Linked DNA regions of Stegostoma tigrinum. The protein of the gene in region 2 purifies or fractionates together with the protein of the main gene of each other region. This does not show direct contact. Links are inferred from orthologs where the notes say so. Each region holds a gene or a part of one and is shown on either strand. Other genes may lie near its edges. The genes, in order: stip1, irak1 and E3 ubiquitin-protein ligase pellino homolog 2.

Evidence for each region.
Region 1: the proteins of irak1 (region 2) and stip1 purify together in Homo sapiens (affinity purification with mass spectrometry; 3 studies listed by BioGRID and IntAct, with this or other methods). This does not show direct contact. The link is inferred for Stegostoma tigrinum from reciprocal best matches to the Homo sapiens genes IRAK1 and STIP1.
Region 3: the proteins of irak1 (region 2) and E3 ubiquitin-protein ligase pellino homolog 2 purify together in Homo sapiens (affinity purification with western blotting; 7 studies listed by BioGRID and IntAct, with this or other methods). This does not show direct contact. The link is inferred for Stegostoma tigrinum from reciprocal best matches to the Homo sapiens genes IRAK1 and PELI2.

The regions. Positions count from the first base shown.
Region 1 is NC_081395.1:4,430,289-4,438,650, reverse strand, and holds the start of stip1 (stress-induced-phosphoprotein 1), read left to right. Parts: upstream 1-5,197; 5' UTR 5,198-5,254; coding exon 5,255-5,269; intron 5,270-8,362. Other genes in the region: ADP-ribose glycohydrolase MACROD1-like, read right to left, coding at 481-742. UniProt on the Homo sapiens protein: Acts as a co-chaperone for HSP90AA1. Mediates the association of the molecular chaperones HSPA8/HSC70 and HSP90.
Region 2 is NC_081402.1:3,446,074-3,453,612, forward strand, and holds the start of irak1 (interleukin-1 receptor-associated kinase 1), read right to left. Parts: upstream 3,169-7,539; 5' UTR 3,059-3,168; coding exon 2,947-3,058; intron 1-2,946.
Region 3 is NC_081363.1:48,278,446-48,286,290, reverse strand, and holds the start of E3 ubiquitin-protein ligase pellino homolog 2, read right to left. Parts: upstream 3,056-7,845; 5' UTR 2,812-3,055; intron 1-2,811. UniProt on the Homo sapiens protein: E3 ubiquitin ligase catalyzing the covalent attachment of ubiquitin moieties onto substrate proteins. Involved in the TLR and IL-1 signaling pathways via interaction with the complex containing IRAK kinases and TRAF6.

The DNA.
Region 1 (8,362 bases), on a different chromosome or scaffold from region 2:
TGCAGTTATTTCAAATACAAAATGCATTATCAACTAAGGTTATCAGTCCAGCTTCCAAAGTGGCTCACTTTTATGCATTCACATCCTCCATATATAACCAGTGCAAGTTCAGGAGTTGCACCTTTCCCTGAGAAAGTGAATCTGTGGAGGGCAATACTCCCTCAAAGCAAAAACAGAAATTGTGGGAGAAACTTCAGGTCAGGCTGTGGGGAGAGAGAGAAAGTGTCAATGTTTCAAGTCCAGTGACCCTTCTGAACTTGGTGCACTGTTCTTAACTGGCCATTCATCAACTCAATCATAATGTTTTCCCCCAATCCCGTTGCATAAATTGTTATTCCGTCTCAAATTTGGCAGTCTTGAAGCTGTCCTCCTGAGGTGATCAACCTCTCTCTCTCTCTTCATTGAGGCGCAATACTGTTTTTGACTTGGAAACTTGGTGGTTACAATGGACTAGGTGGTGCGGGGAGGTTGGGTACTTACCTTTCGCCACTTTCCAGTCGGTGGTGGACCATGAAGGATTAAAGTCCTCGTGGGACATCCCGGAGAGGCAGGCGGACGCCGTCGAGGGAGGGCTGCGGAGCCGGCGGCCGGCGCACAGCAGCCAGCGCGCAGGCGCGAGGCCGCCGGCCGCCGACTGTTGTGACCGTTGGATTCGAAAAACGTTCGAAACGGGCGGCGCGCGAAACGGCCCCAAGCCCCAAGGAAAACGACCTCGCCTCAGCACGGCGAACAGTTTCTCCATCCCTTCGTTTCCGCCCGAGCACCTTTATCGCTTCTCTGTACTCGATGTCTGATGGCGCTGTCGAGGTCGTTGCAATGATTTTTGTATTTTTTTGGAGGGGGGTGTTCGTTTAATTTTGTGAAGGGGGACTCCAGGTGAAGCAAGCTTTTCCGGCACACGTGACCTCTCAAGCGAACTAGGCAGCGGAGGGGGCGGAAGTCGGGTGCGTCGCCCTCTGGGAGGTGTAGTTTCCCGCTTGTTATCCCAATCGGTGGGAGTGTGGGCTGTGAGTTCTACCTGGTGCGTCACTCTGGAATTTGTAGCCTGCGCCCGCCTGAACCAATCGGAAAGCAGAATTTGGGCGAGCGGCCTCAAGGAGCATTGCCTTTTGGGATTTGTAGTTCCCTGGTAGCCCAGTTCGTCCCCTCCCCTCACTGCACCACACAACCAGCCCAGCTCTTCCCCTCCACCCACTGCATCCCAAAACCAGTCCAACCTGTCTCTGCCTCCCTAACCGGTTCTTCCTCTCACCCATCCCTTCCTCCCACCCCAAGCCGCACCCCCATCTACCTACTAACCTCATCCCACCTCCTTGACCTGTCCGTCTTCCCTGGACTGACCTATCCCCTCCCTACCTCCCCACCCACACCTTCTCCACCTATCTTCTTTACTCTCCATCTTAGGTCCGCCTCCCCCCTCTCTCCCTATTTATTCCAGTTCCCTCTCCCTATCCCCCTCTCTGATGAAGGGTCTAGGCCCGAAACGTCAGCTTTTGCGCTCCTGAGATGCTGCTTGGCCTGCTGTGTTCATCCAGCCTCACATTTTATTATCTTGGATTCTCCAGCATCTGCAGTTCCCATTATCTCTGATACCCTTCACAGCTACCTGTGGCAAAAGAAGGCTTGACAGCCTGTTATTCTGAAAGTATGCCCTCTAGACCTAGACGCTTCCCTGAGGGGAATCATCCTCTCCACACTTACACTGTCAAGCCCCTGAAGGATCCTATACGTTTCAATGAGATCACCTCCCATTCTTCTAAACTCCAGTGAGTAGAGTCCCAACTTATTTAGCTTTGCTCATAAGACAATCCCTCCATACCAGGGATCATCCTTAATGAACCTTCTCCAAACTGTCCCAGTTTAAATAAGGGTCCAGACTACCCACAGCAGTCTAGATGTGATTACCTAGCAACATATACGCTTACAGTGAGACTTCCCTACTTTTATACTCCAATCGCCTTGAAATAAGGGACAACCTTCCATTAGTCTTCTTGATTACCTGCTGCATCTGTGTGCTAGCTTTCTGTGTTTCATGTACAAGTCCCTTAAGTCCCTCAGAGATAGCAAGAACTGCTGATGATGGAGGAGCAGCAGGCCAAGCAGCATCAGAGGAGCAGAAAAGTTGGCATTTCAGATCAGGACATGTCTTTCAAAATTGAGACGTCATTGTGATACTTGAGGAGGCCCAGGATGGATATATCACCCACGGAGTGGGTGGGGAAGTTGAAATGGTTTGTGACTGGAAGGCATGGCCTCCTCTACATCGGTGAGACCCAGTGGAGGCTCATAGATGCTTTGTAGAGCACCTGTGCTCTGTTCGCAACAAAAGACAATACCTTCCAGTCACGAACCATTTCAAATCCCCCTCTCACTCCCAATCCCTGGGTGACATGTCCATCCTGGGCCTTCACCAGTGTCACAATGACACCGCCCAGAAACTGGAGGAGCAGCACCTCATATTCCTATAATCCAATGCTCTCAGTATGGACTTTACCAATTTCAAAATCTTTCCACACTCATGACCAACCTCCTCTCTCATTCCTGCCTTCTTGACCTGACACAACTTGTCCATGTTCTCTCCACCAATGCACTCCTCCCACCTCACTGACCAATCCCCAACACTGCCTACCTGCATTCACCTATCACCATCCCACCTACCTTCCCCAGCCCTACCCCTCCTCTCTGTTTATTTCAGAGCTGTCTTCCCCTGCCCCTCATTTTTGAAGGGTCCTGGCCTGAAATGTCAACTTTCCTGCTCCTCTGATGCTGCTAGGCCTGCTGTGCTCCTCCAGCTTCACACTGAGTTACCCCAAGTCCATTTGTGTTTATGCAGTTTTTCTCTTTTAAATAATACTGTTCTTTTGTTCTGCCTTCCAAAACAAACAACTTCGTGTTTTCCCACATTATACTTAATTTGTCTGTTTTTGCCCATTTACCTAACCTATCAATGTTTCCCTGTAAACTGTTGGTATCCCTCTCACAACTTGTCTTCCACTTATTTCTGTATCACAGAATGGTTACATTATTTTGCCACATCATTTCTGCGCTGGCATACCAAAAGAACAACTTACTTACAGTAATTCATCTGCGTTCTTCCCATAACCCTACACATTCTTCATTTTCAGATGAAAGTCCACTTGAACCTGTTGCATCACAATTTTACATTCGTTGAGCATCACTAAATATTGTAAAACATTCCTTCAGGTGATTCACAGGAGCCGAGAAGATGATTTAAGAACTTTATCATGAACCACCTAAAGAGTTAGTTGGTCAATAAACAGGAATTATTTTCAGGGTTTCAAACTCTAGGGATAAAATTTTAAAATTTAGGTAGGAAGAAAAGAGAAGCAAATAATAGGCAGTGGATGAAATATCCACACTTGTCAGACAATTCAAAACTGTGAAGGAATCCAAATGGGAAATCAGGAAAACTTCTATACTCAGAGTGGTCAGCATGTGGAACTCCTACAGAACATGTTGAAGTGAATTACCTAGATGGTTTCAAAATAAAATGACACATAAATATGATTTAGGAAGGATTTAAAGACAATGGAAGGTATGTTAATACGTGGTGAACAATGAGCTTGAGCTTAATTAAACCCAACAGGATCAAAATTCTGAAACAAGAACAGAAATTGCAGAACAAATTCAGCAGATCTGGCAGCATCTGTGGAGAGAAAGCAAATTTAAACAATTCGGGTCCAGTGACCCTTCATTGAAACTAACAGTGGATTTGATGCAGATTTAATAATCTCCTCCAGCCCCGACACCCTTCTCTCATTCTTCTCTCCGATTCCATCCTCTTGAGCACCCCCTGTTCCCAACATACTACCATTTTCAACCTTGCCTTCAACTGCCGGGGATCCTAAGATCCAACGTGGAATACGTGTGTGAATATTACGATGGTACAACCATATTAGTTGGATATGACCTGCAGAGACAAGTTGATTTGTATTGCATATTCCATTGTTTTCAAATCAAATTGAGTGGCATGGTGGCCTCAGTGGTTGGCACTGCTGCCTCCCAATGCCATGTTCCATGTTCCAGCCTCGGGCAACTGTCTGTGTGGAGTTTTCATAAAATCCCCATGTTGGTGTAGGTGTACTCCAGTTTCTTCCCACAGTCCAAAGTAGTGTAGGTTTGGTGGATTGGCCATACTAAAGTATCCAGCCATTTGCAAGCTAGGTGGATTAGCCATGGGGAACGCATGTTTACAGGGATAGGGGAAGCGGCTGGGTCTGGGTGGACTCAATGGGCTGAACGACCTGCTTTCACTCTGTAGGAACTCAGTGAATCTGTCAAAGTTCTGATCAGCTATGTACATTTTAAAATTTGCATATGCTGTCAGAGACAGATTTAGAAATTAGTTAGGAGGTATGTGGGATGTTGCTGTTATTTATTCCCATTTTTGTTCTTCAATATAAATACCATACAAACATTTTGATTTAAATATTATAGGTATTTTGCAACGCACAAGTGCCTGTTCCACCTCATACGCTTCTCATCATCCCAATATTCGCAGAATACATTCTATTTGAATCTTGGAGGTAAATTGTTTGTAAAGACCCTCAAAGTGAACTGCCTCCAACTGCTGTGCTCTAGAATGTTCTTCTGGCCGTTTTAAAAACTGGTCAGCCCATTGGCATGAGTGGGTGGGCCTAGGGCGTAGCTGTTCTACCAATTGGCCATGCCGTCCTGATTGACAGTGCCATTACCCAACCCTGACCATTTAACAGGCGGTACGACCGGCATGAGTGGGGAACATTTTGTAATTGACGGTAGGACAGCCAATCGGAAAGCGATATCTCGGAAAGCTGGACCAACGGGGTGCGAAGCGTTAGAGGCGGGCAGGCTTCCTTTGATGGATTGTTGAATGAGCCAATTGAATGAGAACATAGGGAACGTCCTTGGACGTGGCTCGGCCTCCGGGAGACAGACGGGCAATTAGACTAATCGGAAGAGAAAAGAACTTGAAGACCCTAACTAATAAGAAGAGCGTGAAAGGAGGGGGCGGGATTGCGTCCGATGATGGACTGCCAGGCAGACTAATCAGAATGAAAGAACCTGAAGATTTGGGCCAATGAGGACTGTGGGGGCTGGATGCAACCCGTAGATGGACTGACGATTGGACCAATCGAGAGGGAGACAGTTGGGGGCTGCGGCCAATGGGAGCGTGTAGGAGGTGAGGGCGGGGATTTCCGGCGTGAGTTCTGGTAAGTTCGAGAAGGCGCGTGGTGAGCTGATCGAACTGGTAATGGATCAGGCGAAGGTAAGAGAGAGGAAGGAACGCAAAATAAACGCTTGAGAAAGCACTGAAAAAAAGTGCACTACAACCCTGTCCTAAACTAAGGACGTTAGCAGGACGATATATGGGTCCTGTGATTTATTATTGCACTGGCTGTACTGGGGTGGAGCTCCATTACAACGTGAACGTGAGGTTAGGTAGAAAATAAACCCTCAAAAGTAGTAATCTCTGGTTTACTGTTGGTGTCCAGCTGGAATAAGGGAATGAATATAAGAGATAAATCAATTGCAAAAGAGATGTTATAATGTTTGGGAATTCAGTTTCTTGGATCATTAGGATCTCTTTTGGGACAGAAAAGACCTGTTCAAAAAGGATGGGTTTCATCTGAACTGGAAAGGGACCAACGTCTTCGTTGAGACTATGAGAGATCCTAAGTCACAGCGTTAATAGAAAGATGGATGCGAGCCTTGCAAGAACAAGTTAGTTAGAAGAACAAGAGCAAGTCTGAGAACACGATAATTCTGAAGAAGTGAACTGTATTTATTCCGATGCAAGTGTTCTTACTTGTAGGGCAGATAAGCTGTTGTCATGTTGAGGAACATGAATTGGAATGTCATAGTGATTACAGAAACTTGGCTGAGGGAAGGACGGGGCTGGCAGCTCAGTGTTCTGGGTTTCAGGTGCTGTGGGAAGAAGGGAGACAGGCGAGGAGGGGGGAGTGGTGTTTTTGGTTAGGAAGAATGTTATTGCAGTAATTAGAGCAGATATTTCTGAAATATTGTCCAGTGAAAACATATGGATAGAAATTAGAAACAAGGAAGGAATGATCATGTTGATGGGATTGTATGAAACTACCCCCCCTCCCAAAGTAGTTGGGGGATGTTGAAGAAATATGTAGAGAACTCTCCAGTTTACATAATAATAGGGTTCTAATATGTGATTTTAATTTTCCAAACTCTGACTGGGAGTGTTAAAGATTTGAATGTGAATAATTTGTTAAATGTGTTCAGGAATTTTTTTTATTGATACATAAATGTTCTGACTAGAGAAGGAGCAAAATGTGACCTCCTTGAGTAGTAATACAGGGCAAGTGACTGAAGTGTTAGTAGGGGAACACTTTAGGACAAGTGATCATAATTCTATTGGACTGAAAATAGTTCTAGAAAAGGATAGGCCCTCTATGAAAGTTAACCTTTTTCCAATTAAAACTTTATTTTTAATGATATGAGACACAAATTTTCAGAAGTTGATTGAAGTAGACTGCTCATGGGTAAAAGGACATGTGATAAGTGGGAGGCTTTCAAAAATGTGATAACGGGAGTTTGGAGTCATTATGTTCCTCTGATTATAGGGTAAGGCTGGTAGGATTAGAGAACAATGAATGAATGAAGATATTAAGATTCTAGTCAAGAATAAAGAATCATGAGATATGGACAACTGGATTCAAATGAATCTCTTGCACAGCATAAAGAGTGTAGGGGCATTCTTAAGAGGGAGCTCAGGAAGGCAAAGAGGGAATGAGAGCCTTGGCAGGTAATGTTAAGGATAATCTAAAGAAATTCCATCAGTACATTAAGAGCAAGAGAGCAACTGGAGAGAGAGAGGGAGAAAGTGCATGTAGGGCCCCTTAAGGATCAAATATGTTGTCTTTGTATTGAGCCTCAGCAGATAGAAAATATCCATTTAAAATTCTTCTGTCAGTTTTTATTGTGGAGAAAGAAATAGAGGTGAGAGAACTCGGGGAAATAAATATTGATGTTTTGAAGGCAGCTCACATTACAGAAGAGGAAGCTCTGGAGGTCTTTAGAAAATATAGCAGAAGATAAATCTCCAGGACCTGATCTAGTGTAACTAAGGACCTTGTGGAAAGTTAGGGAGGAAAAATTTGTACCATCCGTAACTACCAGTGAGGTGCCTAATGTTATGCCTTGGTGTTAGGAGAAGCCTGGGAACTATAAACCCGTGAGTCTGACATTGGTGGGTAAGTTGTCTGAGATGATTGTAAAAGATAGGATTTACATGCATTCAGAGAGGCCAGGAAGAATTACAGATAGTCAGCATGGATTTGTGTGCGGGACACCATGTCTCTGAAACGTGATTGAGCTTTGTGAGGAAGTAACCAAGCAGATTGAGGGTAATGCAGTAGACCATTATTTATTTGGACTTTAGTAAAACCTATGACGAGGTTCCACATGGTAGACTACTTAGTAAAGTTAGATCACATAGGATTCAAGATGGGCTTGACAACGGGAGACAGAGTGGCAGTGGGGGGGTTGTTTTTCGGACTGGAGGCCTGTTACTGGTGGTTCCACAAGGATGGTTCTGGGTCTGCTTTTGTTCATTACATATAAATGATTTAGATGAGAATATGGAAGGCCCAGTTAATAAGTTTGCAGACAATACTGAAATTGGTGGTTATAGTGGACAGTGCGGAAGGTTACTTGAGATTACGAAGAGATCTTGATCAATTGTGGCAATGGGCTGAGGAGTAACAGATGGAACTTAATTTGGGTAAATGCAAGGTTTTTGCCTTTTGATAAAATAAGCAAGGGCAGGACTTGGACCATTCATGGTAGGATCTTGGGTAATGTAGAACAGGATATAAGGATAGGCTCGGACCTCTTTCACAGGAGTGTAAGAGGTTGAGAGATGATCTTACAGAGGTTTGTAAAATTGGGGGGTATAAATAAGGTGAATGACAAGAGTCTTTCGCCAGTGTGGGGGGTTTCAAGACTGGGGGGCCTATTTTTAAGGTGAACGAAGAAAGATTCTCAAAAGGATATGGGAGCAACCTTTTTATACAGTGTGGTTTGTGTGTGGGATGAACTTCTTAGGGGAGTGGCAGGTGCAGTTACAATGTTTAAGACATTTGGATAAGTTCATGAATAAGAAATGTTCAGAAGGATATGGGCCAAGCACAGGCAGGTGGGAATAGTTTGGTTGGGATCACGATCAGCATGAACTAGTTGGATTGAAGGGTCTGTTTTCATGCCATATGATTGTGTATAAGTTGCCAGGCTAGCCTGCATCGCCTTATTCATGTTCAAGGTCCTTCAGTATAATTTATTTTCTTTAAGTAACATTGTTTCACCAACTTGTTTCGTTGGTAGTGTTTCA
Region 2 (7,539 bases):
ACAACCCATAATCTATTTTTGGTCACTAATAGATGTTCCTTCTCCCAGGCTGATCATCACCCACTCTCGTCAGTTCAACTGTTCTTCTCTCTTAAGGTCCGATCCCCCACCTATCATTTACTCCTTGCCCCCTCCCCGCAACTCCTATCTTCTGCATTTAAAAAAAGACATTTTCCCAGCCACCAAGAGTTCTGATGAAGGGTCACCGGACCTGAAGCGTCAACTCTATTTTTTCTTTCACAGATGCTGCCAGATCTATTGAGCTTTTCTTGTGATTTATGGTTTCGCAAATGGGATGTGACCTTTATACACAGAGGACTGGAGTATAAGAATGCAGAAGTTTCACTACAGCTATATAAAACCATCTGAAGGGGGAAGGGTCACTGGGCATGAAACATTAACTCTCTCTCTCTACAGATGCTGCCAAACCAGCTGAGCTTTTAAAGCAATTTCTGAGTAGGTAAACTAAATTCCACTAAAGACAGATGTGCAGCACGGAAACAGACGTTTTGGTCCAACTTGTCTGTGCTGACTAGATTTCCCAATGTGACCTAGTCCCATTTGCCAGCATTTGGCCCATATCCCTCTAAACCCTTCCTACTCACGTACCCAATCAGATGGCTTTAGTAACTGTACCAGCCTCCACCACTTCCTCTGGTAGCTCTTTCCATATACTCCCCACACTCTGCAGAAGCAATTGCTCCTTAGGTCCCTTTTAAACTTTTCCCCTCACCTTAAAAATTTACACCAAGTTTTAGGCTCCCCTACCCTGGGGGAAAAGGCCTCAACAGTTCACCCTATCCATACCTCTCGTGATTTTATAAAACCTCTAAGGCTCCCTCCCCACCTCCCACCAAGAGTCCAATGACCCAGCCTCTCCCTAAAGCACAAACCCTCCAAAATCCTTGTAAATCTTTTCTGCACCCTTTCAAGTTTCACATCTTTCCTATAGCCAGGAGGCCAGAATTGATCACAGTATTCCAAAACTGGCCTCACCAGTAGTTGGAGATTTGAGAAGTGGGGGCATAGAATAAAACAGCCTTTATTGTCGCATTTACTCTGAGTATAGTGAAGAGTTCTCACATCACCAATTACAGCACCAACACTGATACTAATGTACCTAGGAACAGCTTCTTTAGTTTTAAGGTGGGAATTACAGCCTAATCTGTTCAGGATCAACGTTTGGAACTCTCTTTCAGTGGATTAGAAAAATAGGAACAAAAGGTGCAGGAGTAGGCCATTCAGCCCGTCAAGCCTGAACCACCACTCTAAGATCACGGCTGATCATGCAACTTCGGTATCCCATTCCCACCCTCTGCCCATACCCCCGATCCCTTTAGCCATGAGGGCCACATCCAGCTCCTTCCTGAACGTATCTAATTAACTGGCCCCAACAGCTTCCTGTGGGAGAGAATTCCACAGGTTCACAGCTCTCTGACTGAAGAAATTCTTCCTCATCTCAGTCCTGAACAGCTTACCCTCTCAGACTGTGACTCCTTGCTCTGGACTTACCCATCATCAGGAACATTCTTAACATTCTGTCCAGCCCCATCAGGGTTTTACATGTTTCTATGATATCCCCTCTCATTCTTCTAAATTCCAGCAAGTACAAGCCCAGCTAACCTAGTTTTTTTTGCCTCATCCGTCAGTCCTGCCACCCTGGGAATCAGTCTGGTGAACCTTTGCTGAACTCCCTCAATCTGGATGTGAGTTTGCTCGCTGAGCTGGAAGGTTTGTTTTCAGACATTTCATCACCATTCTAGGTAACATCATCAGTGAGCCTCCGGTGAAGCGCTGGTGTTATGTCCTGCTTTCTATTCAACCTGAGCTACAAATCTTCTCAAAACACGCAAACTCCCTCAATATCAAGAATGCCTTTCCTCAGACTAAGAGACCAAGACTCAAGTTGTGGTCTCACCAATGCCTGTATACCTGTAACAAGACATCCTTACTCTGATGATCAAATTCTCTGGTTATGAAAGTCAGCATGTCATTATCTTTCCTCACGGCCTGCTGCACCGCACGCCAACAGCACACCTTGTCCCAACCTGCCACAAATCAGACAATAATCTGCTTTTATGACCAAAGTGGATAGCCTCACTTTTATCCTCATTGTATTGCATTTGCCAAGTACCTACCCATTCAGCCAGAAACGGAATTAGACTCAGATCTTAATTGTCAAGTCTAGATCACGTTGCGGCTGTACAGGTCATTGGTGAGGCCACTTTTTGGAATACTGTGTTCAATTCTGGTCTCCCTGCTGTAGAAAGGATGTTGTGAAACTTGAAAGGTATTAGATAAGATTTACATAGATGTTGCCAGGGTTGGAGGGTTTGATCTATAGGGGGCAGGCTGAATAGGTTGGGGCTAATTTCCCAGAATGTTGGAGGCTGTGGGATGACCTTAAAGAGGCTTATAAAATCATGAGGGGCATAGGTAGGGTGACAAGTATAGGGGCATAGGTTTAAAAGGAGGGAGGGGAAAGAGTTAAAAGGGATCTAAGGAGCACCTTGTTCACACAAGAGGGTGGTGTGTGTATGGAATGAGCCACCAGAGGAAGTGTGGAGGCTGGTACAATTACAACATTTAAAAGGCATCAGAATAGGAAGGGTTTAAGAGGGTTATGGGCCGAATGCTGGCAAGTGGGGCTGGATTTATTTAGGATATCTGATAGGCATGGACAAGTGGGACAGTCTGTTCCCATGCTGTACATCTCTATGTAGGAATAAGAGTGAAAAGCGTAAGAAGTTATCACCCGGGGCACCGAGATAGATAAATCGTTGCTCAGCAAGTAAAATGGGCTGAAGGTAGGTGGGCGACCTAATTCCACTTGATCAGCCACTGGAATGGGGCAGCAGGGTTCGAGGGGTTGAATGGCTACCCTGGATCCTCAAATCTCGCGTTAACTGATCAAGAAGAAGGGTGCGCGCTCTCGCTGTCTCTCACCGAAGCGGTTCCAGTCGCCACTGCCCAGCGAGTCCATCACCGTGCAGAATTCGCACATGGTGGCGGCGGGCAGCTTGTAAGCGTACTCAGTGGTCCAGCTCCACTCGGACATCGTCCTGTCTTTGGTTCGTGCCGGTCTAGGCCGCAACCCGTTCCTATGGAAACCAAACAGAGCTCCTCACCCTCCAACGCCGAGACCCGCGACTGGCGTCGCCGCCACTCCTCGGGACCCGGGGCCCGATTGGACGCCTCCCATTGGCTGACCGCCCCGCCAATCGGACAGCGCCCAACGCGTCTATTCGTCCCCACACAGCGAAAAAAACATAAAATAACCCCACGTGTCCCTCGCTCCCATTGGTCGAAACTGCAGCCACGCAGAGAGGAATCACGAACTGGATTGGTCGGCCCAGGAGGAGCTCGAGAAGTTACCGCCCCCGTCACGGTGCCTGCCATTCGATTGGCCATCCGGCCACGTCGTCATAGGCATTCCTATTCCCCATTGACCAAACCCGCTGCCACTCAGAATGCAGCTGGAGTTGATTGGTCGGCCGGTGAGTTTGTGGGCTCAATGAAGTCCATGCCCCCTTACTTCCTTCTCCGCCCCTTCCCAATCACGAGCCGGCTCTGTCCCACCTCCACTCAAACGCGATTTCGGCAAACGGACACCGCCCACGGCCAGTTCGCGGTTTGATTGGTCCGACAGTCTGTCACTCTAATCCCACTTACGGCTTTGTGCCCGCACCTTTATCAGCGATTGGCTCAAGGACAGAGCGCGCTGTTGACGATTGGCTGGTGCCCCTTCAATCAGATAGTTCGCATGAACCTGACCCTTGACCCAAGAAAAATACCAATACCCGAAAGATGTTTAAAACTTTCATTATGTTATTATAATGAGATTGGGAGTCTTCATAAATACAAAATGACCGTCTTGAGCCCAATTGCAGAGCAGATCTCAGAACGATACATGACAAAAGAGACCATTCGGCCCATCAACTCTGTGCTGACCCTAAACTTTGTCCGCTCCCACTGTCAGCACTCGGTCCACAGCCTTGAAAGTAAAGACACTCGAAGTGCTCCGCCGCATTTTGAAGTTCAGCAGCGCAGTATTCCATCAGCACTGACCCTCTGACAGTGCCCGCTCCCTCAGCACTGACCCTCCGACAGTGCGTCGCTCCCTCAGCACTGACCCTCCAACAGTGCCCACTCCATCAGCACTGACCCTCTGACAGTGCCCGCTCCCTCAGCACTGACCCTCTGACAGTGCCCGCTCCCTCAGCACTGACCCTCTGACAGTGCCCGCTCCCTCAGCACTGACCCTCTGACAGTGCCCGCTCCCTCAGCACTGACCCTCTGACAGTGCCCGCTCCCTCAGCACTGACCCTCTGACAGTGCCCTCTCCCTCAGCACTGACCTTCCGACAGTGCCCGCTCCCTCAGCACTGACCCTCCAACAGTGCCCACTCCATCAACACTGACCCTCCGACAGTGCCCGCTCCCTCAGCACTGACCCTCCGACAGTGCCCGCTCCCTCAGCACTGACCCTCCGACAGTGCCCGCTCTCTCAGCACTGACCCTCCGACAGTGCCCGCTCCCTCAGCACTGACCCTCCGACAGTGCCCGCTCCATCAGCACTGACCCTCCGACAGTGCCCACTCCATCAGCGCTGACCCTCTGACAGTGCCCACTCCCTCAGCGCTGACCCTCTGACAGTGCCCACTCCATCAGCACTGACCCCTCCGACAGTGCCCACTCCATCAGCGCTGACCCTCTGACAGTGCCCACTCCCTCAGCACTGACCCTCCAACAGTGCAGCGCTCCCTCGGCACTGACCCTCCAACAGTGCCCACTCCATCAGCACTGACCCTCCGACAGTGCCCACTCCCTCAGCACTGACCCTCCGACAGTGACCGCTCCCTCAGCACTGACCCTCTGACAGTGACCACTCCCTCAGCACTGACCCTCCGACAGTGACCACTCCCTTAGCACTGACCCTCCGACAGTGCCCACTCCCTCAGCACTGACCCTCTGACAGTGACCGCTCCCTTAGCACTGACCCTCCGACAGTGCCCACTCCATCATCATTGACCCTCCGACAGTGCCCACTCCATCAGCACTGACCCTCCGACAGTGCCCACTCCATCAGCACTGACCCTCCGACAGTGCCCGCTCCCTCAGCACTGACCCTCCGACAGTGCGGAGCTCCATCAGCACTGACCGTCCGACAGTGGTTGCTCCCCCTGGTGCTGACCCTGCAACAGCAAGGCACTCCCTCCGAACTGACCCCCTGACAGCACCCACTCCATCAGTGCTGACCCTCCAATAGTACTGACGGGAGTGCCACGCAGTTGGAAGGTGTGTAAGGATACAGTGCCGCACTGTTAGAGGGTCAGCGCGGAAGGAGCGGGCACTGTCGGAGGGTCAGGGCTGAGGGAGCGCTGCACTGTCGGAGGGTCAGTACTGAGGGAGTGGGCAATGTCGGAGGGTCAGTGCTGAGGGAGTGGGCACTGTCGGAGGGTCAGTGCTGAGGGAGTGGGCACCGTCGGAGGGTCAGTACTGAGGGAGTGGGCACTGTCGGAGGGTCAGTGCTAAGGGAGCGGTCACTGTCAGAGGGTCAGTGCTGAGGGAGCGTCGCACTGTCAGAGGGTCAACGCCGAGGGAGTGGACACTGTCGCAGGGTCAGTACTGAGGGAGTGGGCACTGTCAGAGAGTCAGTGCCAAGGGAGCGGGCACTGTCAGAGGGTCAACGCCGAGGGAGTGGACACTGTCGGAGGGTCAGTACTGAGGGAGTGGGCACTGTCAGAGGGTCAGTGCTAAGGGAGCGCCGCACTGTCGGAGGGTCAGCGCCGAGAGAGTAAGCACTGTCAGAGGGTCAGCGCCAAGGGAGCAGTCACTGTCAGAGGGTCAGTGCTGAGGGAGCGTCGCACTGTCGGAGGGTCAGCGCTGAGAGCGCGGTCACTGTCGGAGGGTCAGTGCTGAGGGAGTGCCGCACTGTCGGAGGGTCAGCGCCAAGGGAGCGGTTACTGTCAGAGGGTCAGTGCTGAGGGAGCGCCTCACTGTCAGAGGGTCAGTGCCGAGAGAGTAAGCACTGTCAGAGGGTCAGCGCCAAGGGAGCGGGCACTGTTGGAGGGTCAGTGCTGAGGGAGCGCCACATTGTTGGAGGGTCAGTGCTGAGGGAGTGGGCACTGCAGGAGGGTCAGCGTTGAGGGAGCGCCGCACTGTCGGAGGGTCAGCGCTGAGGAAGCGCTGTACTGTCGGAGGGTCAGTGCTGAGAGAGCACCGCACTGTCGGAGGGTCAGTGCTGAGGGAGCGCTGCACTGTCGGAGGGTCAGTGCTGAGGGAGTGCCGCACTGTCGGAGGGTCAGTACATTTCTGAAGAAGGGTTCTGATCTGAAATGTCAACTTCCCTGCTCCTCTGATGCTGCCTGCCGTGCTGTGTTCCTCCAGCTTCACACTGTGTCATCTCTGACTCCAGCATCTTCAGTTCTTAACTGTCTCCACATTGAGTATCTTAGTCTTTGGGATGACAAGCAGTTGGGACCATCAGGGGGAGCTCTGTTTAAACAAACCTAAACCCTCATGAACATTAACTGAGAACCACAAAGCTCAGTTCCAAATAAGAGTACGACAGCCAGCAAATTGTACTGAACATATCTGAGGCACTTCGTTAGATCCCAGCTGGAGGAGCGTGTGCAGTTCCGAGCACCACTCTTCAGGAAGGACATGGACGCTTTGGAGAGAACGTAGCAGAGACTCACAAGGACAGTGAGGTATGAGAAATAGGTTGGAGAGTCTACGAGCTATTTTTGTCAGAAGGATCTGATTAAAACTGTGACGCATCTGACTGAAGGGGAGAAAATTTTCCCGTTTGTCGAAGGATCAGCCGAAACAAGAAAGCACAGTATTTGTGGTAGCGTGGTGACTCGTATTTAGCACTACTTGCCTCGGAGCACTCGGCACCTGCATCTGATTCCACTCTCCGGCAACGGTCAGTGTGGAGTTTGCACATTCTCCCTGTGTCTGCGGGGGTTCCAATTTCCTCCCATGTCCAAAGATGTGCAGGTTAGGGTGAACTGGCCATGCTAAACTGACCACAGTATCCAGGGATGTGTGGTTTAGGGTGGGTTGGGCATCCGAAGTTACCTCGTAGTGTCCAAGGATATGCAGACTAGGTACATTAGCCATGGGACATGCAGGTTTTGGGTATAGAGTGTTGGTGCGATTTGATAGGCCGAATAGCCTGCTCCTAAACTGAAGGGATTTTTTTTAAGGGTTTTCTCCCCTCCCTCTTCAAGCAGCATGGCAAAGGCAAGTTCAATCAAGGTTTTCGGAAGGGCATTCATTGGATGATGGTTTGAACAGCAACAACGTCAGAGTTTCGGGGGATAAGGCTGAGAACGTGCACCAGAGTTACAGCACTCTCTCAGCCAGCCACAAATGGGCTGAACAGCCTTCCCTTGCATGATAATCGTTCTGTCGAGATGTAGGGTCATCAGTGTTGGGTTGACTGGACTCTGGCACACAGAAATACAGTACAGCAACTGTGTCCAATGGGACTTGACCCGGAAGGGGAGGGCCAGAGAAGTTGAACCTGGTG
Region 3 (7,845 bases), on a different chromosome or scaffold from region 2:
GGTAGGCTAATGGAAAAAGTGAAGTTGCATGGGGTCCAGGGTGTACTAGCTAGATGGATAGAGAACTGGCTGGGCAACAGGAGACAGGGAGTTGTAGTAGAAGGGAGTTTCTCAAAATGGAGAACTGTGACCAGTGGTGTTCCACAGGGATCCTTGTTGGGACCACTGTTGTTGTTGATATACATAAATGATCTGGAGGAAAGTAAAGATGGTCTGATTAGCAATTTTGCAGATGACACTAAGGTTGGTGGAGTAATAGGCAGTGAACGGGATTGTCAGCAAATGCAGCAAAATATAGATATAGATGGAGAGTTGGGCGGAGAAATGGCAGATGGAGTTCAATCTAAGCAAATGCTATGTGATGCATTTTGGAAGATCCAATTCAAGAGTGAACTATATGGTAAATGGAAAAGCCCTCGGGAAAACTGATGCACAGAAAGATCTGGGTGTTCAGGTCCATTGTACCCTGAAGGTGGCAATGCAGGTGGATAGAGTGGTCAAGAAGGCATATGGCATGCTTTCATTCATTGGACGGGGTATTGAGTACAAGAGTTGGCAGGTCATGTTGCAGTTTTATAGGACTTTGCTTCGGCCACATTTGAAATACTGAGTACAGTTCTGGTCGCCACATTACCAAAAGGATGTGGATGCTTAGGACAGGGTGCAGAGGAGATTCACCAAGATGTTGCCTGGTATGGAGGTCACTAGCTACGAAGAGAGTTTGATTAGATGAGGATTATTTACATTAGAAAGACGAAGGTTGACGGGGGACTTGATTGAGGTCTACAAAATCATGAGAGGTATAGACAGGGTGGATAGCAAGAAGCTTTTTTCCCCCCAGAGTAGGGGACTCAATTACTCGGGGTCATGATTTCAAGGTGAGAGGGGAAAAGTTTAAGGGAGGTATGCGTGGAAAGTTCTTTACACAGAGGGTGGTGGGTGCCTTGACACGTTGCCAGCAGAGGTGGTGGAGGCGGGCACGATAGTGTCATTTAAGATCTATCTAGACAGATACATGCATGGGCAGGGAGCAGAGAGATACAGATTCTTGGAAAATAGGCTCAGAGCCTGTCTCTGCCTCCCTACCCTGTTCTTCCTCTCACCCATCCCTTCCTCCCACCTCAAGCCACACCTCCATTTCCTACCTACTAACCTCCTTGACCTGTCCGTCTTCCCTGGACTGACTTTATCCCCTCCCTACCTCCCCACCTATACTCTCCTCTCCACCTATCTTATCCTCTCTCCATCTTCGGTCTGCCTCCCCCTCTCTCCCTATTTATTCCAGAACCCTCTCCCCATCCCACTCTCTGATGAAGGGTCTAGGCCCGAAACGTCAGCTTTTGTGCTCCTGAGATGCTGCTTGGCCTGCTGTGTTCATCCAGCTTCACACTTCATTATCTTGGAATATAGGCAACAGGTTTCGATAGAGGATCTGGATCGGCAAAGGCTTGGAGGGCCAAAGGGCCTGTTCCTGTGCTGTAATTTTCTTTGTTCTAAATCTTTTTCCCCTCTCCCTAAACCAACATCCTCTAGTTTTGGACTCCACCACCACGGGGAAAAGGCCTTGTCTATTTACCCTTTCCATGCCCCTATGACTTTATAAACCTCTATAAGGTTACCCCTCCACCTCTGATGCTCCAGGGAAAATAGCCCCAGAGTATTCAGCCTCTCCCTGTAGCTCAAAGCCTCCGACCCCGGCAAATTCTTTGTAAATCTTTTCTGAACACTTTCAAGTTTCACAGCATCCTTCCTACAGCAGGCAGACCAGAATTGCATGCAATATTCGAAAAGGGGCCTGACCAATGTCCTGCACAGCCGCAATATTACCTGCTAACTCCTATACTCAATGTACATACCAATAAAGGAAAGCATACCAAATGCCTTCCTCACTATCCTGTTCTACCTGCAACTCTACTTTCAAGGAACTACGAACCTGCTCTCCAAGGTCTCTTTGTTCAGCAACGGGACCTTACCATTAAGTGTATAAGACCCGCCCTGGCTTGCCTTTCCAAAATGCAGCACCTCACATTTATCTAAATTAAAGTGTGTATTTGCACACTGAACTAGTATTGGATCAAACTCTTATTATACAATATACGGTGGAATAACGTGAGAACACTGTCCATTAGACTCTTATAAAACCGCTGAAGGATACCAGGCAGAAGTTCCAGGAAAAACAGAAAAGAAATGCGTGCTCAAAGAAAATACAAGTAATAAACACGGAAATGCACAGCTTCCTTTCAAAACTGGGAAATACTGAGCATCTTGTCGGGAAACGTCACAGTAATCTAACCCATTGCAGCCGCCTGTACATGACCCGTAAGGATAAATCTATTTGTGAAACAGTGAAATCGACCATTTTGTCAAGAATTCATCTCAACCGCGTGTTATCTCTAGATACTCAATTCTTTGGCTTCAATTGATCACGCAAACTGAAACGGCGGATTTTATAAACAATAAACTGATAAACGTCGAAACTGACTGGATCATGTAACCAACCCTCGCTACAGTCGGATTAGTTGGCAAATCCGTAAGAAATAAAAATCGACATTGTTTCCAGTTATTATCATAGCAAACACACAGCTTGCGTGCTCAAAATGCATCTGTATTCTTACAACAAGCAGGGAAACATCGCGAAATGATAGCTCGTTCATTTAAACTAAGCTGTGCTACGCAAGCAGTGATCCGACACAGAACAAACAACGGAAGTAAAACAGATCGAGAGGGTTGAAATGCAAAGTTTTTTTTCCGCTCTCAAACATCTGATCCAGCTCTCTGCCCTGAAATGTTGTTGACAGAAACAGTACATACCGAAGGCCTTTCCGAGGAGCGGAGAACTCTGCCACACTGAGCGCAGCTGCGAAGCCGCTGGTTAACTTTTCGCCCGGAACCCGCTGGTGCTGTTATCGGCGAGCGGAAAGTTCACCGCTTCAGGCCAGAGACGATCAGACAAGCGGAGCAGCTTCGTCCGGTCGCCTCGAAACTAACATGTCAGCGACAAAGCAGGAAATCCTGCTGGGGGAAAGAACCCCTCAAGTCAACACAGGCGCGTCAAGCTGCATGTTCAGTACTGATTGGCCAGCCTGTGTCTGGTACTGAAACTAAAATTCAAAACAGTTTCATTTCTTTTTCATTGACAATTGAAGTATTTTGTGTCGGGTTGCCCACTTCAGAAACAGCTTGCTAACTGTTGGATATTAAAATGGGTTATCTACAACTGGGAATTGATACTGGTAATTGTGTCACAATCTTTTAAAAAAAAGACAGTTTTCAGCTTTTTTCTGGAATGTAATGCTGTATTCAATCTGTAATTGCAAAGTGGTCAGTGGTTCGGATCAAAAGAGAAATGAACGGGGAAAAAAACCCAGAGATAGTAGGAACTGCAGATGCTGGAGAATCTGAGATAACAGTGTAGAGCTGCATGAACACAGAGGGCCGAGCAGGAAGGCTGATGTTTCCGGTCTTGGACCCTTCTTCAGAAATAGGGGAGGAGAAGGGGGTTCTGAAATAAACAGGGAGAGAGAGGGAAGAGGATAGAAGATGGATGGAGGAGAAGATAGGTGCAGAAGAGACTGACAGATCAAAGAGGCGGGGATGGAGCCAGGAGAGATGAGTATAGGTGGGGAAGTAGGGAGGGGTCAGTCCCGGGAGGATGGACAGGTCAAGCGGGTCGGGATGAGGTTAATAGGTAGGAAATGGGGGTGTGGCTTGAGGTGGGAGGAGGGGATAGGTGAGAGGCAGGAAGGTTAGGGAGGCGGCGACGAGCTGGGCTGGTTTTGGGTTGCGGTAGCGGAAGGGGAGTTATTGAAGCTGGTGAAATCCACACTGATACCATTGGGCTGCAGGGTTCCCAAGCGGAATATAAGTTATTGTTCCTGCAATCTTCGGGTGACATCGTTATGGCACTGAAGGAGGCCCAGGATGGACATGTTGCCTGAGGAATGGGAGGGGGAGTTGAAATGGTTTGCGACTGGGAGGTGCAGTTGTTCAGTGCGAACACTGTGTACGTGTTCTGCAGAGCGTTCCCCAAGCCTCGGCTTAGTTTCCCCAATATAGAAGAGGCCGCAACAGGAACAGCGGATGCAGTGTACCACATTAGCAGATGTGCAAGTGAACCTGTGCTTGATGTGGAAAGTCTTCTTGGCGCCTGGGATGGGGGTGAGGGAGGAGGTGTAGGGGTAGTTGTAGCACTTCCTGCGGTTGCAGGGAAAAGTGCCGAGTATGGTGGGACTAGAAGGGAGATGGAGCGGACAAGTGAGTCGCGGAGGGAGTAGCCCATTTGGAAAGCAGATAAGAGTGGGAAGGGAAAAATGTCTTTGGTGGTGGGGTCGGATTGCAGATGGTGGAAGTGTCGGAGGATGATATGTTGCATCCAGAGGTTGATGGCATGATACATGAGGACGAGGGGGATTCTGTTTTGTTTGTTGTTGCAGGGAGGGGCTGTGAGGGATGAGTTGCGGGAAATGCAGGAGACACAGTTGAGGGCGTTCTTTACCACTGCGGGGGTGAAGTTGCAGTCCTTGAAAAATGAGGACATCTGAGATGGATAGGAGTGGAATGCCTCATCCTGGGAGCAGATGCAGTGGAGGCAAAGAAATTAGGAGTAGGGGGTGGCATTTTTGCAGGAAGGTGGGTGGGAGGAGGTGTATTCTAGATAGCTGTGAAAGAAATGATTATCTGCTTCTAGGTGGTTGCCAGAGATGGAGACAGAGAGGACCAGGAAGGTGAGGGATGTGCTGGAGATGGTCCAGGTGAACTTAAGGTTGGGTGGAAGGGGTTTGTGAAGTGGATGAACTGTTCGAGCTCCTCGTGGGAGCATGAGGCGGCGCTGATACAGTCATCAGTGTAACGGAGGAAGAGGTGGGGTTTAAGGCCAGTTTAGGTACATGAGAGGGATTGTTCCACGTAACCTACAAAGAGGCAGGCATAGCTTGGGCCCATGCGGGTACCCATGGTCACCCCCTTTGTCTGTAGGAAGTGGGAGGAATTGAAACAGAAGTTGTTGAGGGTGAAGACGAGTTTGGCTAGGCGGATGAGGGTGTCGGTGGAGGGGGAATGGTCAGGCCTGTTGGACAAGAAGTTGTTGGAGGGCTTTTAGGCCATCTGTATGGGGAATGCAGGTGTATAGGGACTGGACGTCCATGGTAAAGATGAGGTGTTGGGGACTGGGGAAATCGGAAGTTCTGGAGGATGTGGAGGGCGTGGTTGGTGTTATGGATGTAGGTAGGGAGTTCCCGGACCAAGGGGGAGAAAATGGTGTCGAGATAGGTGGAGATAAGTTTGGTGGGGCAGGAGCAGGCAGAGACAATGGGTCGACCAGGGCAATCGGGTTTGTGGATTTTGGGAAGGAGATAGAAGGGGACAGTGTGGGGATAGGGAACGATGAGGTTGGAGGCTGTGGCTTGGATGTCACCTGAGGTTTTGGATGGTTTGAGAGATGATGGTTTGGTAGTGGGGGGATGGGGTCCTGAGCAAGGGGTGGTAGGAGGAGGTGTTGAAGAATTGGCGCCTGGCCTCAGCAATATAGAGGTCAGTGCTCCATACTACAACTGTGCTTCCCTTGTCCATGGGTTTTGTGGTGAGGTTGGGATTGGAGTGGAGGGCTGCACGTTCTGCAGGGGAGAGGTTGGAGTGGGTGAGAGGGGTGGAGAGGTTGAGGCAATTGATGTCTCGATGGCAGTTGGAGATGAAGAGGTCAAGGGAGGGTAAGAGGCCTTGGGGTGGTGTCCAGGAGGAAGGGGTCCTATGTGTTTCTTGACCTCTCTCTCTCTCTCTCACACACACACGACCAATGGACCATTAGTGATTAATAACGTTCTTATTCATAGTACTTCACATTGGTTTTCCAAAAATTGATTTGAAATTGATAAAAACTTAATGTGAAGCTGCCTTTTAGCCACATCAGCCCCACCAAAGAGATTTGACTCTACAGTCAACAAAGTGTGAAGTTGGATGAACACAGCAGGCCAAGCAGCATCTTAGGAGCACAAAAGCTGACGTTTTGGGCCTAGACCCTTCCCATTATCTCTGACTATACAGTCAAACCATTTTTAACAGCAACAATTTGCAACTCGAGCTGAAAATCTCAAACCCGCTTAAAGATCTTACATCTATGATTCATCATGGGACCAATCCTTATTTTATGCAAAAGATAGCAGTTTAGAGGTTGAAAGAAGCTAATTGACTCATGTCTGGGCTCATGGAAGAAGGTTAATGCCCTGGAGGCAGATGGCCCTTAATCTTTATTAAAGAAAGAGTGAATGATAGAGTGGGTAAACCTTCTTCATTTCTAGACAACATGGAATAGCATGTTTTTGCTAATGGACTAATTGGTCACCATTGCTTTCCTTACTAGTAGATATATCATGAATATTTTCAATGTGTCACCTTAAATGAGAATGCAAGTTATGGGATTGGGCCTTTCATTCTAAAATTATTAGTGTTAGAATTAACAGGAGATCACTTTAATGAGCATACATGGAACACCTATAGCTAAGTAATCGTTGAAAACTGAAAATTCAAAACCTGACAGGGCCCAAAAATGGCCCTTGGATTACAAGCCCCGCTTAGCTGGTAAATATTGTTTATCATGTGGGCAGTATGCAACCCTTGGGCTATCTACTTATTTAAGCAGTTGTAACATACAGTCAATGTTACATGCATTGTTGAGTGAATGCATACCTGTGGAGAGTTTAACATCTGCTGTGGGGAAAGTGTTAGAAGCTGTTATTAAAGATGTTACAACAGGTCACTTAGATAAGTTCAAAGTAATCAGCAAGAGTCTGTATGGTTTTGCCAAAGGGAAATCATGTTTAGCTAATTTATTAGAGTTCTTTGAGGAAATAACTCCTGCTATAGATAAAGGAGAATCAGTGGATATAGTCTTATTTAGATTTACAGTAGGCATTTGATGAAGAGCTTGATAAAGGTTATTGCAGAAAATAAAAGCTCATGGTACAGAGAGTAACATCTTGTCTTGGATAGAAGATTGTCTGGCTAATAGGTAGTAAAGATTAGGAATTGATGGTTCATTTCAGACTGTTTGGATGTCACTAGTCGTGCACTACAGAGGTTGATGCTGGGACCTCGACTTTACAAATTATACAAATAATTTGGATAAAGTTAACCGAGATATGGCAGTCAAATTTGCTGATGACAAAGATAAGAAAGTGAGTTTTGAAGAGGACAGAAAGAAAGAATGTACAAAGGTTATAGATAGATTAAGTGAGCATGCAAAGTTCTGGAAAATAAAGTACAACACTGGAAAGTGTAGAATTGTTCATTTTGGCAGAAAGAATTTTTAAAAATCTAAGTGGTGAGAGGTCTGAAATGCAGAGAGAACCAAGTGTCCAAGTGCATGAATTGCAGAGGGTGAGTACAGGTAACCTTGCAGGTACAAAAAGTAATCAGGAAAGTTAATAGAATATTATTTTTCATTGCAAGAAGAATTACATGCAAGAGTAAGGAAGTTACGCTTCAGTTACATAGGGCATGGATGGTACCACATCTGGGGTTCTGTGTACAGTAATGGTCACCATTAATGTTGAAGGATGTTAATGCATTGGAAGTAGTTCAGAACAGGTTTGCTAGACTAATATCTGGAAGGGCAGATTGCCTTGAGGAAAGGCTAGACAGGCTAGGGTTCTGTAGTTTAAAGCATCAGAGGTGATTTCATTGAAACACAAGGCCCTGACGATATTTGACCAGGTGGATGTTAAAAGAAAGTTTCCTCTTTTGGGAGAATCTAGAACCAGTGCCAAAGTTTAAAACTAAGGGGTCACCCATTAAAAACAGAAATAAGGAAACATTTATTTCTCTGAGGGTTGAGAGTCTCAGGAATGTCAT